2 linked regions of the Anolis sagrei genome follow. The protein of the gene in region 1 interacts with the protein of each later gene in a biochemical or structural test. Links are inferred from orthologs where the notes say so. Each region holds a gene or a part of one and is shown on either strand. Other genes may lie near its edges.

Region 1 (7,474 bases):
GTCACACAAACTCAGATTACACATCTTTCCCTGAGAATAGTATGAATCACACTGCAAAGGACTTTCTGGTCCTGTCTTCTGCTGAAGCTTCACTGGGGCTGGTGAGGTAGACAGAATAATACCACCTTTCCGTAGGTCCCAAAGTCTGTTGTCATGCCTCCTAGCACCCTCAAGTCTCACTTGGAAGCACCTCCAAGCTTTCATATCAGGCATGTAGCCGGGGGGGGGGGGGGGGGGGCTCGGGGGGCTTCAGCCCCCCCCCCGAAATTCTCATGGTGGTTCGCGAAAAGGCCTTACTGGTGCATTATTTAAACTGTTATGTTTATTCATATCATGATCTGATCACCATACTCAATCTATCCCATATGCATGGGAGTATTGGGGTAATGATACAAAAGGTTTGCTAGGCTAGACCCTCTTTCACTCAGACTCAGCCCCCCCCCCGAAACTCAGCCCCCCCTGAAATTTTTTTAGCCCCCCCCCCCCCCCCCCCCGAAACAAAATCCTGGCTACGGGCCTGTTTCATATGTTTCTCCAAGCTGCTCATTTTCATTGGCAACAATCTCTCATGATCTTTGTTCCTTTTCCCTCAACAAATGTTGGGTATGTGTGCCACAATATGAATGAACGATAATTCCTAAAATCATGGGTCATTTCCCCCAGAACTCTGTCAGTATTCAAAGTTGGTCATGTTTGATAAATGTGCCATGCTTGGTCCAGATCCATCACTGGTGGGAGTTTGTTGGGAGAAGCACATGAGTGAAGCCGGCAAAGTGAATGAGCAAAAGGAAGACATATAGCAGCAAGGCATTACCACTGGCAAAGTGTACTCATATTGCACAATTGCTGTAGTTTGATGCCACTTTAACAGCCATGGCTCCACCCTATGGAATCCTGGAATCTGTGGTTTGGTAAGGAACTTGGAACTCTCCACTGTATTCTTACGCTGTAGGACAGAGAGCTGACAGTGAATTCTAAGTCCTTATCAAATTACAAGACCCAGAATTCTGTGGGATGGACCCATGACCGTTAAAGTGGTGTTGTAACTTCAACTATAGGGGGAACATAGATATATCCCAGGTTTCTTACTCTTAAAAATCTGTGGCACTTGAAGGTTGCTCAGTACAATGAACCACAATGCTGATAGGCCTATCTTGAGGTGGTCACTATGCTCAGTTGAATAAAAGATTGGAAAATCGAGTCTCTGCATTTATTTACAGATTTTACTGTTCATTTGTATGCTGGAATACAAACACAGACTTCACATTTGAAACAAAATTGTGCTGGATCAGGTTAATGATTCAGTAGAGCAGTGTTTCTCAAACTGTGCTCCTCCAGGTGTTTTGGACTTCAGCTCCTAGAAATCCCAGCCAGCATACAAGCTGTTAGAACTGTGGGAGCTGAAACCCAAAACATCTGAGGAAGCACAGTTTGAGAAACCCTTCAATAGAGAAAAGCAAATACAAACACCCTCTGGACAAATTTTGCTAAGATAACCTCACGATAAAGACCTACCTTAGAGTCACTATATTTATTTATTTTATTTATTTACTTTACTTATATACCGCTGTTCTCAGCCCGAAGGTGACTCACAGCAGTTCACAACAAATAATGTCAGAAATGACTTGAAGTAATACAAGAGATTCCTCCGTGGGAATTGCAAAGCAGGATATTATATACTATCTTAGGTACCCAGTGATGTAATTTGGCTATGTAATCTGGTAAGGATAAACATTAGAAAAAGTAATTGTGTGTTTTTGGATGTTATGAGTGGTCCCGTTAGAAAATGCATATGGATCAGGGTGAGCTGCAAGTCCCACTATCATCTGTTATTTTCCCCCAACGTTGGGCATGTTGAGTCTGTGTGCCAAGGCTGGTTCAGATCAGTTGCTGGTTGGGTTCACAGTGCTCTCTGGATGCAGGTAAACTGCAAGTCCTGAAATTCAAGGTCAATTCCCCCAAAACCCACCACTATTCAAAGTTGAACATGTGGGGTATGTGTGCCACATGAGGTCCAGATCCATTTTCAGCTGGGTTCACCATGCTCTCTGGATGCAGATGAACTACAACTCCCAAAAGTCAAGGTTAACCCCCGCTCCATACCCCACCGGTATTCTAAGTTGGGTATGTTGGATTTGTGTGCCAAGTTTGATTCAGATCCGTCATTGGACTGGGTTCACAGTGCTCTCCGGATGTGGGTGAATGGCAACTCCCAAAATTCATTGAAAGCCACTTCCCCCCATGTATTTAAAATTGGGCATGTGTAGCAAGTGTGGTTCGGATTCATCATTGGCTGGGTTCACAGTGCTTGCTGGATGTGGATGAACTACAACTCCCGAAATCATGGGTCAGTCTATTCTAAACCCCCCAGTATTCAAAGTTGACCATGTTGGGTATGTGTGCCAAGTTTGGTCCAGGTCTGTTGTCAGCTGGGTTCAGGGTGCCATCTGGATGTGGGTGAACTATAACTCCTGAAATCTAGAGTCAATCCCCCCACAAAGCCCTCCAGTATGTTCTGTTGGTTGACAGAAAAGGCTGCTGGCAAAAAAGATAAGACTGGTGAAATGTCTGCCCTTAGAGGCTGAGAAAGTATTGAAGAGAAACAACTGGAAAAGCTGACATGATACAAGGATTTAAAGATCGAACTGCAAAGACTCTGGCACAAGCCAGTCAAGGTGGTCCCGGTGGTGATCGGCACACTGGGTGCAGTGCCTAAAGACCTTGACCTGCACTTAAAACACAATTGGCGCTGACAAAATTACCATCTGCCAGCTGCAAAAGGCCACCTTACTGGGATCTGCACGCATTATTCGCCAATACATCACACAGTCCTAGTCACTTGGGAAGTGTCTGACGTGTGATCCAATACAACAGCCAGCAGAGTGTCTGCTGTGGACTCATCTTGTGTTTCTAATAATAATAATCATAATCAAATCATAATAAACTTTATTTATAACCCGCCACCATCTCCCCAAAGGGGACTCGGGACGGCTAACATGAGGCCAAGCCCAAAAATAACACAGCATAATTAGACACAAAAACAACAGAAAAATGTTGTTGTTCATTCGTTCAGTCGTCTCCGACTCTTTGTGACCTCATGGACCAGCCCATGCCAGAGCTCCCTGTCGGCCGTCACCACCCCCAGCTCCTTCAAGGTCAGTCCAGTCACTTCAAGGATGCCATCCATCCATCTTGCCCTTGGTCGGCCCCTCTTCCTTTTACCTTCCACTTTCCCCAGCATAATTGTCTTCTCTAGGCTTTGCTGTCTTCTCATGATGTGGCCAAAATACTTCCACTTTGTCTCTAGTATCCTTCCCTCCAGTGAGCAGCCGGGCTTTATTTCCTGGAGGATGGACTGTTTGGATCTTCTCGCAGTCCAAGGCACTCTCAGCACTTTCCTCCAGCACCACAGCTCAAAGGCATCTATCTTCCTTCGCTCAGCCTTCCCTAAGGTCCAGCTCTCACATCCGTAGGTGACTACAGGGAATACCATGGCTTTGACTAGGCGGATCTTTGTTGCCAGTCTGATGTCTCTGCTCTTTACTATTTTATCGAGACTGGACATTGCTCTCCGCCCAAGAAGTAAGCGTCTTCTGATTTCCTGGCCACAGTCTGCATCTGCAGTAATCTTTGCACCTAGAAATACAAAGTCTGTCACGGCCTCCACATTTTCTCCCTCTATTTTCCAGTTGTCAATCATTCTTGTTGCCATAATCTTGGTTTTTTTGATGTTTAGCTGCAACCCGGCTTTTGCGAACAGAAAAATACATCACAACAAAATACATAATATAACAAAATAAAATAAACAGTGCAAAATAACATAATAAAATCAAACACAAAGGGCGGGCCAAATGCATGAGATAAAATGTTAAAGCAGAATATTATATTTCAAACAGATTATGAAAACGAAGGCAGGTATCACACTAGAAGAAGAGGCAAGGAGTCTGCAAGCCATGTGGCTGCCTCCTCCTCCTGCGGAATTCTGGGACTTGTTGTTTAGAGGAGAGGCCTTTGAAAGGCTCAGCCAAGAGAGGCCCTGGGCCTCACTCAACTACAACTCCCAGAATTCTGCAGGAGGAGGCAGCAGCAGCGACAGGGTGACAGGTGGGCGGCCTCCTCTCTCAGCGCCAATGAGTGGGGTATAGCGTGAAGCCCCCTCGAGAAGCGCGCGCTGCGTGGCCATAGCAACCCATTCGGCGCCCTTGGACAAATCACAGTCTCCCATCTTCAAGGGGGACGCCAAGGCCGCGTTCAGTCTGAACCCAACCGGAAGGGGCTGGAAGGCGCGCCAAGCACTGCCCCCCCCCCAGGCAGCCAGGGGGAGGGGCTGCCACGCGCAGGTGCGGCGCCGGTGACGTCACTCCGCCTGGTCACCCCGAGCGGCGGATGCGGAAGCGGCCCACCAACCACCGCAGACCGGAAGCGCCGCCGCGGTGCCCATCCCGCCTATGCCTCAGTCCCTGCTTAGTCGCCCGGGGAGGAGGAGGAGAAGGAGGAGCGCCGCAGTCCGGCGCCGGCCGCCACCCGCCTCGGGTGCTCTCTGCCGGGTGAGCCAGCCTGGAGGGGCGGGAAGGCTTGGTCAGCGCGGCCTTGGCCGGCCTCGGGGTGGGAGAAGGAGGAGGAGGGGGGCGAGAGAGGGAGGCTGGGTCTGGCGAGAGGCGCAGGCAGGCTGGAGGCCCCGCCTGAGGGAAAGGGATAGCGGACCTGTGTTTATCTCATGGCTGAGGAAGCAGTGCACGTCCATGTGTGAGGAAGCGGACCTTACTGAAATCAAGATCAGCTGCCTTCACATCATTCCCTTCATCTACCAAGCTTGTAACTGTCGAGCAAAATACTCCTGTACTCCTGTACTGGGTTGCTGTGGGTTTTATTGTGCTGTATGGCCATGTTCCAGTAGCATTCTCTTCTGACGTTTCTCCTGCATCTATGGCAGGCATCCTCGGGGTTTTGAGGTCTGTGGGAATGAGGCAAGTGGGGTCATTGGAATGTCCAGGGTGGGGGAAAGAACTGTTTGTCTGTTTGAGGCAAGTGTGATTATTGCAATTGGCCAGCTTGATTAGCAACTGAAAAGCCCTGCAGCTGCAAAGCCTGGCGGTTTCTGCCTGGGGACGTGCTTTGTTTGAGAGATGTAAACTGCACTTGGTTGTTTTGTCGAAGTGAGACCTCACTACCTCTGAGGATGCTTGCCATAGATGCATGCGAAACGTCAGGGGAAAATGCCTCTAGAACTTGGCCATATAGCCCGGAAAATCCTACAACAACCCACTGGCACTTGATTGCTGACTAGAGTTCCCCTGCTTCTGAGAGCCCTTCCACACATTCCTATATCCCAGAATATCAAGGCAGAAAATCCCACAATATCTACTTTGAACTGGGCTATCTGAGTCTACACTGCCATATATTCTAGTTCAAAGCAGAAAATGTGAGATTTTCTGCCTTGATATTCTGGGATATAGGGATGTGTGGAAGAGCCCTGAATGGTGTTCTTTATTTGCTGTCTTGATTCTGGTGTTTTTTTTTAATACTGGTAATCAGATTTTATTTATTTTCATGGTTCTCTCCTTTTTGTTGAAATTGTCCACATGCTTGTGGATTTTGATGACTTCTCTATGTAGTCTGACATATTGGTTGTCAAAGTGGTCCAGCATTTCTGTGTTTTCAAATAGTATTCAGTGTCCAGGTTGGTTTAGCAAAAGGTGCCCCCAGGCAACAATAGCCAGGCTTTGCCACTGTAAGGCTACTCAGTTGTTAATCAAGCTGGCTAATTGCAACATTCACACTTGCCTCAAATAAACAAGAGTTCACACTGGATTTTCCACACACACACACATTTAATCTGAGAATTCCCACAGACTTCTCCCTCTAGTTGTCAACACAACTAGAATCCCCACAGACCTCTGAACAAACCTGTGAGGATGCCTGCCATAGATGCAGGTGAAACGTCAGGAGAGAATGCTTCTGGAACATGGCCATACAGCACAAAAAAATTCACAGCAACTCAGTGATTCAGCAACACATACTCCTGAACTGTTATGCAGTCCTGTCTTTTCTCTGTCCCGTTTTAGCATTTCACTATCATCTCTACACAGTCACCCTCCCTTTTCCTTGTTCTTCCTCTCCGCATATCAAATATGTCCCACATCTTATTAATCTGTGCACCATTTTTGTCTTCTAATGAATGGGTGCAATGATTAATAAGAGTGGGCCAAATTTTATATGGGAGAAGAAAGGTAAAAAAACCTTCAAACATACATTTATATTACCTAGTGAACAGAAAACAGCCATACCAGTGGCTCTTAAAATATAAACCATGAGCTCCATATCATTTTAAATTATCTTTAAATGTTTTTGTAACTTTAATAAGTTTTATTTGGTGTAAGCTATTGTGAAAGTGAAAATGTATTAATCTTTTGATTAGCCTGGAAAATATTGCCATTATTTGCTCTTCCCAAGTGCCACTGCCAGAACTCAGAATCTAATGAGGAAAGTACAGGTTGAGTGTTTTTAATTCTCAAATACTCCACAGTTGTACACGATAGTGACCTTTTGTGTACACATAAAATTATTACATTATTTTATAGGCTGTGTGTATAAGGTGTGTATGAAGCACAAGTGGATTTCATGTTTGGGCTTGGGCCTCATCTCCAAGATATCTCATTATGCACATACAAATATTCCAAAATCTGAAATCCAAAACCCTAATGGTCCTTACCAGTTTGAATCAGGGATACTCAACCTGTATTTTGTTCATTCTGTAGAGATGCAATCTACAAAGAGTGTTATCCCCAATCTGAAATCATTTCACTGGGAAACCCTACTCTGCAAAAGAGAGGTTACCAGTACATCTGCAACAGTGGTGTTTTTTTGGATTTGACAAGGCAACTGCTTCTGGGTACCAAACAACATAAGTGACTACGGTCAAAAGATAGGTATTCTTCCTGGTTGCTGTAGGGGCCCTTCCACACAGTCCTATATTCCAGAATATCAAGGCAGAAAATCCCACATTATCTGCGTGTTCAAAGCAGATATTGTGGGATTTTCTGCCTTGATATTCTGGGATATTGGGCAGTGTGGAAGGGCCCTCGGTAAGTGACCCTTAATATCTATGCCTACTCATTTAAAAGAGTCTTCAATCACAGGCATTGGATGGAGTTTTGTCTCTACTAGTACCTATTCATTGACCTATTTCAGAGGTTCCGTGAAAAATTACTAACTTGTTAACCCACCTTTGTTCAGTAAAAGTTTTGAGTCAGATGGTGGGATGGCTTACTTATCGCTCATTGTCAACCGAAAGAGCTTGAGTGAGCCATCTCCAGCATCCTTTCCTTATATTTGGTACCACAGCAAAACATATGGATTTTCCCACATTTTTAATAGCTGTCTTGCAATATAGCTTGCCTTGCAAATATACAGTGATACCTTGACTTACTAATTTAATTTATTTTGTGACTGAGCTCTTAACTCAAATTGCTCT
Region 2 (7,061 bases), on another chromosome or scaffold:
CACAGAGTATCTAAAATAGGAAATAACCAATTATATTTTATAGAAGTCATCACAAAGGGGCGTGGATACACAGGAATCCCATCCTCTTTTCCCACTTTTCTTCATCTCTGTGAAAACTATGTTAGTAGCTTGTAAAACAGACCATGGGGGCTCATTTAACACATCCTCTTGTATTCCAGTGACAGAGGACACACAGTACTCTAAAGACCAATAGCTTTATTATAACAGGAGTACAGAACTCTCTTCTTCTTTTTTTTTAAAAAAAGGATTACACTGCTGTTACATACTAACCCAGTGTGGAATTTACAGAACTCGATCCCCCCTCCCCCACTTATAGCATTAGTGAAGTTTTAACATCTAACCACAAGTTGATTCTGCATATGCCTGACAGTGCAATGTTACACGTGTCTACTCGGAGGTAAACCCCACTTTGTTCAATGAGATTTACACCTAGGTAAGTGTATATAGTGTTGTAGCCTTAATGGCACTAATCAAAGAAAGTGGGCAAAGTATTATTTTCTTAAATATGACCTACCCTTTCTTCATTTCTTCTTCAGAATAAAACATAAAAAATTATATACTTTATTACAAATGGAAAAAAAACTCAAGGTTGCTAAAAAAAATCCTCTTATTTACAAACAATACTGGGCTTGAACCCACATGAACATAAAAATAACTTACAAAGTCATGAAGTAGTTTTACTTGATATTTATCAGCTGTCACAAAATAAAAAAGAGTATCTGTACATACACAACTGGACTCTAAGGCAGGCAGTATAGTTCAGCTTCAGTCATTAGCCTCCCACAAACTCCCTCCCCACTTTTTTTTTTTAAAAAATGAGTACTAAGAGAAAGCAATCTACAGTATCTACTGCAGTTTAACCTTTAATACTGAATGATGATTGAATGTTAGGTCCATGCAGGTCTTGGTCAATGTTAAAAAGAAAGAAAGAAAAAGCTAACACCAGGCTTCTGTAGCCTTGTCTGAGCAGAAACAGCACTTCGGAGAGCTGTACTTCCAACTGACATGCCACCACCTCAGACAGAAAGGCACCCAGTCTCTTTCTCTCCATGCATGCTTTGGAAGTGGTGTTGGGAGTCGTGGAAGCGCTCTCTGGAACAATGCCTTTCCGGCTTGTCTTCCTGCCCCACAACCCAGGTGAGCTTCCCAACTCCCACCTCTCTTTCTTTTCGCTTAATTTTCACCCCAACGCAGTTTGCTTCCCACTCTCTTTTCAAAAAGTTTGCAACTGCTGTGTGAGCATGAGCTGGCACCCACTGTTGACGTGATTCATGACCTTCTGTTTCAGCTGCGCAACCTGCTCTCGCAGCATGTTTGCTGTGGAGGCAAGTTCCGAGTTCTGGGCTTTCAAAGTTTTCACTTTGTCTTCTAACCTGGCAATCCGCTCCAACTTTCTTTTCCGGCACTTGGAGGCGGCAATGCGGTTTCTCATGCGCTTCCTCTCCGCCTTGATCCTCTCCTGGGACTCCATGTCAATCGGTGACAGGGGAGGAGTCTCCCCAGGCATCTCTGGGACAGTCTGAGGCTCTTCTTTCAGAGCCTGGAGGCGGGGATGCTGCACCGGCATGGGAGGGTTCAGGTGATGTTGCGGAGGGTAGCCCAGGTTGCTGGCGGGGTAGTTAGGCGCCGTGCTGAGGGTGCTGGGGTTGAAATTGCTGAGGTTGGCGTAGACAGGAGGCTCGCTGTGCAAGCTGGCACCAAAGCCATTGTTTCCAGCCATGGAAGACACTGGGGCCATGCCAGAGTTGGCCGGCTGGGCAGCAGAGGTAACACTTGGCATGGTGTTTTGATTGTGCAGCTCTGCGAGAGCCCTGACAAAGCCTTCCGCAAAACCTTCTTGTTCGTCGGTGACATTTTTGGGACACAGGAACTGGGTCGGGGTGGGAGTGGTGGTGATCAGCCCGTTGCCAGACTGGATGATGAGCCTCTCAAGCTCAGGAGAAGCCAGCTTGAGGAGGCCCACATCGGGAGAGGTCAGCAGGTCGGCGTTCTTGTTCCTCAGGTGCGGCTTGAGGTTGCTGGACGGGTCAGCCAGATTGAGCGTCATGCTCTGCTTCAGGACTTTGGGATTGTTATATCCGTAAGTGCCACTTTCAGGCTGGACGAAGGTCGCGTTGATGGCATCGTCGTAAAATGTAGGTTCCATCTTTGCAGTCATAGAACACAGTCCACAAGTTTGCTCCCCTCCAGTTGAGAAACTAAGCAGCGAATTCAGTCACTTTTTGAAAAAAAAAGTTTATCAGAGTCAGTGCTGGCCACCAAATAAGTCAACAACAACAAAATATTATTCTGGGAGAACTCGAAGAATCAATGATTACAGTCTTACTTTTTCGCCACAAGGCATTGGCTTGTCAGTCCCTTCCCTCTGGGGAGTAAAGAGAGGCTGGTATCTCCAAGAGTACGAAATCCAGGCGCAAAGAGAGTGGAAGTCCAGCACAACTTACTTTTTCTCAAAGTATGGAGGCTCCCCACCCCCTCCGTCCCTGGTGGGAGTGTCCTGCGCCGAGTTGTTCAAACACACACTTGTTGAAGCCTCCCTTCTTTCTCAGGAGCGGCTGTCAGGGGGAGAAATGAAGTTTTCTAGGAAGCACACGGGAGAAGGAGAGGAAAAGTCTCGTTCCCAGAGTCCAGTCGGGAAAGAATGAGGCGCCACGACGCGTCCTCTCCTCTCAATCCCTGCTGATATAAAATGGAGGGCACCCCAAGAAGTTCAGGGTTCTCCCTTGGCCGCCTTTCCCCCTGAAGGGCCGCTCGGCGTCGTCTTCCCCTCACAGAGCGTCCCAAAAGCGAGGCAGGCTCCTTCTCCTCTTCGCCTTCTGAGGGGAACCGTGTGGCGGTGGCGGCGGCGGCGGCGAATGCTCCGGCTCTTCCTCCCTCTCGTGCCGCTTGCGCTCGCGCTTGCTTCAACTCTGAGCTCTTTCTCAGCGTGGAGTCCCAACACTTATCAGCGAGCAGTAACTCTCTAAAAATAGCCCATGATGTCACCCCGCGGCCTTCCCATTGGCTGCCGCCGCCGCCTCGCGGAGGGGAAGGGGGCGGGGCCAGGCCTGCCGCCGGCCTGTGCCCGTTTGCAAAGCAAAGGCGCCCATCTCCATGGCCACCCCACCCGGCTAGAAGCTTCTCCGCCGACGAGCCCCGCCCTTTCTTTCGTCGCTCGCGGGGCATTGTGGGATGAGGTAATGCCTAGGCTGCCGTTTGCAGCGGGGCATTGTGGGATGACGTATTGTTTTTGAATATCGGGTTACCCGCTTAAGGAGCTCCGGCGGGGTTGGCAGGGAAGGAGGGAGGGAGGGAGGAGGCGGAGGGGGAGGAGGCGCGCGCATGCGCACACGCGCCAGGGCAGGAGGAGGAGGGGGGCGTGTTGTAACATAACTAGGGAGATACCAAGTAGTGAACGGAGGTGTGGGGGGGGGGGGAGGTGGAAGGATCCACTTTGTGTTCCAAAGAGAGGCAAGTGACTATTATTCCGCAAATGGATTTACAAACTCACAAAATGACTGGGACCATTTTGAACTGCCCCTTGCCACCTATTTTTCATATATATTCTTGTTTAAACTTGGATCGTGTGTGCGTGTGTGTTTGGGACCCAAGTTTAAACAAGAATTCAAGAATATAATTAATATAATATAAGGGGCTTAACTTTAAAGAAGAATTCAAGAATATAAGGGACCCAAGTTTAAAGAAGAATTCAAGAATATAATAAATATAATATAAGGGACTCAAGTTTAAAGAAGAATTCAAGAATACAATATAAGGAACCTAAGTTTAAACAAGAATTCAGGAATATAAGGGACCCAAGTTTAAACAAGAATTCAATAATATAATTAATATAATATCATATAAGGGACTCAAGTTTAAACAAGAATTCAAGAATATAACATAATGTAATGTAATATCTGGGACCCAAGTTTAAACAAGAATTCAAGAATATAATATAAAATATAAGGGACTCAAGTTTAAATAACAATTCAAGAATATAATATATAATAAATGGGATCCAAGTTTAAACAAGAATTCATATATATATGAATTCTTGTTTAAATTTGGGTCATATATATTATATTATATTCTTGTTTAAACTTGGATCCCATTTATTATATTATAATATTCTAGAATTCTTGTTTATAATATAAGGGACTTTTATATATCTAAAAGCCGTCCCCTACCACACGTTGCTGTGGCCCAGTCTGGTGATCTGGAAAATAAAGTAACGAGAAAGTGTTGGTTTCTAATATATGTAATGTCTTTATGCTTGTGGGTAAACAGTATTTCTTGCTATTTCTTTGTGAGTGTTGATGTGGAGATTGTCTGGTTTGCCTAATGTGGAACATGCTACATATAATTGTCTTTTTTGGTGGAATCGCTTTCAAATCTATATCTCTCTCTGTGTGTGGATCATATATATCTATATCTATGGCTGGATGGCCCTTTGTCAGGAGGGCTTTGATTACGTTTTCTTGCGCTGGTGAAGGGAGTTGGATTAGATGGCCTTAAGTATCTTCTGCTGCTCATGGGAGTTCTGTGTGGGAAGTTTGCCAGCATTCGTGGGGTTCAGAATGCTCTTTGATTGTAGGTGAACTATAAATCCCAGTAACTACAACTCCCAAGTGTATAAATCCCCCAAACTCAGGTGTTCATATTTGGGCATATGGAATATTTGTGCCAAGTTTGGTCCAGATCCATCATTGTTTGAGTCCACAGTGCTCTCTGGTTGTACAACTCCCAAACTCAAGGCCAATGTCAACCAAACCCTTCTAGTGTTTTCTGTTGGTCATGGGTGTCCTGCATATCGTTTGGTTCAATTCCATCATTGGTGGAGTTCAGAATACTCTTTGATTGTAGGTGAACTATAAATCCCATAAACTACAACGCCTAAATGAGAAATTTTTTTTGAGTGGTGGTCACTCCTTGGGTTAATAGGAATCTTCTGGCTAAATTTGGTGGCAATGTGATTGTAGGTGAACTATAAATCCCAGCAACTACCACTCCCAAATGTCAAGATTGTATTTTCCCCAAACTCCACCAGTGTTAACATTTGGGCATATGGAATATTTGGGTAGAGTTTGGTCTAGATCCATCACTGTTTGACTGCACAGTGATCTCTGGATGTAGATGAACTACAACTCCAAAACCAAAGGACACTGCCTCCCAAACCCTTTCAGTATTTTCTGTTGATCATGGGAGAACTGTATGCCACAATTCCATCGTTGGTGGAGTTCAGAATGCTCTTTGGTTGTTGGAGAACTATAAATCTCAGCAACTACAACTCACAAATGACAAAATCATTTTTTTTTTAATGATGGTCACTCCTTGAGTTAGTAGGTGTCTTGTGGCCAAATTTGGTGTCAATTCATCCAGTGGTTTTTGAGTTCTGTTAATCCCACAAACGAACATTACATTTTTATTTATATATAGATCTAGATCTATATATCTATAGGACCCAAGTTTAAACCAGAATTCAAGTGTGTACGTGTATATGTATGTATGTATAATACAATATAACATAAGGGACCCAAGTTTAAACAAGAATTCACTCTGATGCTTCAGACTGCAAAGGTGCCACTGTCTCAGCCTCCAATGGGGAAAATTTTCGGATTTGGGGCGCATTTCTGGATCCCGGGATCCCTGCCTTCTTCCGGGAATGGTGCTGCCGCGGATCCGGAGGGAGGAGGGAGCGAAGGGCCTGCGATGGGCTGACTTCCACGTGACGCTCCTTCCCTCCTCCGTCAGAGCTTCCTTCCTTCCACGCAGGGAAAAGGAAGGAGGGAGGGAGGAAGAAGAGCTTTGCAACCGTCTGGTCATGGGCTGTAAATATGCGCGCATCTTTTCCCCTGGAAGCCCTTCTCCAGCGTCATCTTCCTGAGCTAACCTTTGTAAGGGGGTGGGGTGGGGGGTTAAGTATGACTCTCTGTTCCCGCGGAACTCCCAGAGACTTGCTTTCCCCATAAACGGGGTCGTGGGGTGCAGTTAAAGTGGTGTCAAGCTGCCTTAATTCTCCTCCGTTCTCCGTTCTGCCTTCCCTCCGACGTTTACATCTCGTCACGCTTTGGCCGAGAGCCTGCGAAGGCTTTGCGCGGGTTTCTTCCTTCTCCACACGAAGGAGAAAGAGGGGGAGGGGAGCTCCCTTCCTTCCCGCGTGATTTGGGGCGGAGGAGGAGGAGGGTCGGATTTCCTCGGCTTCTCCCTGCCGCCTCCTCTGTGCCTTTCTATGGGCAAAAGGGCGAAGGCGGGAACGCGCGGTCCTAAAGCCGACCTACTTCAACGCTTGGGTGAACCTGAACCCAGCTCTGGTTCTTCCTTGCCATTTTGCCTTTCCCACGAGGCAGAGAGAGTGTGACTTAGAATCCTAGACTTCGTGGGACATCCAGTGCAATCCCCTGCCAAGAATCAGGGAAATGGCATACAAACCACCCCGACAGATGGCCATCCAGCCTCTACTTAAAGCCTCCAAAGAAGCAGCCTCCACCACTCTCCTGGGCAGAGAGTTCCAATGCCGAACTACTCGCACAGTCAGGAAGTTCTTCCTAATGTTCAGATGGAATCTCTTGTCGTTTGAAGCCATTGTTCTGCGTCCTGGTCTCCAGGGCAGCAGAAAACAAGCTTGCTCCCTCCTCTCTATGACTTCCTCTCACATATTTATACATGGCTATCATGTCGGAGCCCCCAGTGGCGCAGTGGGTTAAAGCACTGAGCTGCTGAGCTTGTTGATCGAAAGGTCGCAGGTTCGATTCCGGGGAGCGGCGTGAGCTTCCGCTGTCAGCCCTAGCTTCTGCCAACCTAGCAGTTCGAAAACATGCAAATGTGAGTAGATCAATAGGTACCGCTCCGGCGGGAAGGTAACAGCGCTCCATGCAGTCATGCTGGCCACATGACCTTGGAGGTGTCTACGGACAACGCTGGCTCTTCGGCTTAGAAATGGAGATGAGCACCACACCCCAGAGTCAGACATGACTGGACTTATTGTCAGGGGACTACCTTTACCTTTATCATGTCTCTTCTCAGCCCTCTCTTCTTCAGACTAAACGTGCCCAGCTCTTTAA

The links.
Region 2: of the proteins of MAPK8 (region 1) and JUN, one has a biochemical effect on the other in vitro, tested with the Homo sapiens proteins (76 studies listed by BioGRID and IntAct, with this or other methods). The link is inferred for Anolis sagrei from reciprocal best matches to the Homo sapiens genes MAPK8 and JUN.

The regions. Positions count from the first base shown.
Region 1 is NC_090023.1:142,173,221-142,180,694, reverse strand, and holds the start of MAPK8 (mitogen-activated protein kinase 8), read left to right. Parts: upstream 1-4,391; 5' UTR 4,392-4,547; intron 4,548-7,474. UniProt on the Homo sapiens protein: Serine/threonine-protein kinase involved in various processes such as cell proliferation, differentiation, migration, transformation and programmed cell death.
Region 2 is NC_090024.1:169,476,971-169,484,031, reverse strand, and holds the start of JUN (transcription factor Jun), read right to left. Parts: upstream 3,109-7,061; 5' UTR 2,180-3,108; coding exon 1,235-2,179; 3' UTR 1-1,234. UniProt on the Homo sapiens protein: Transcription factor that recognizes and binds to the AP-1 consensus motif 5'-TGA[GC]TCA-3'.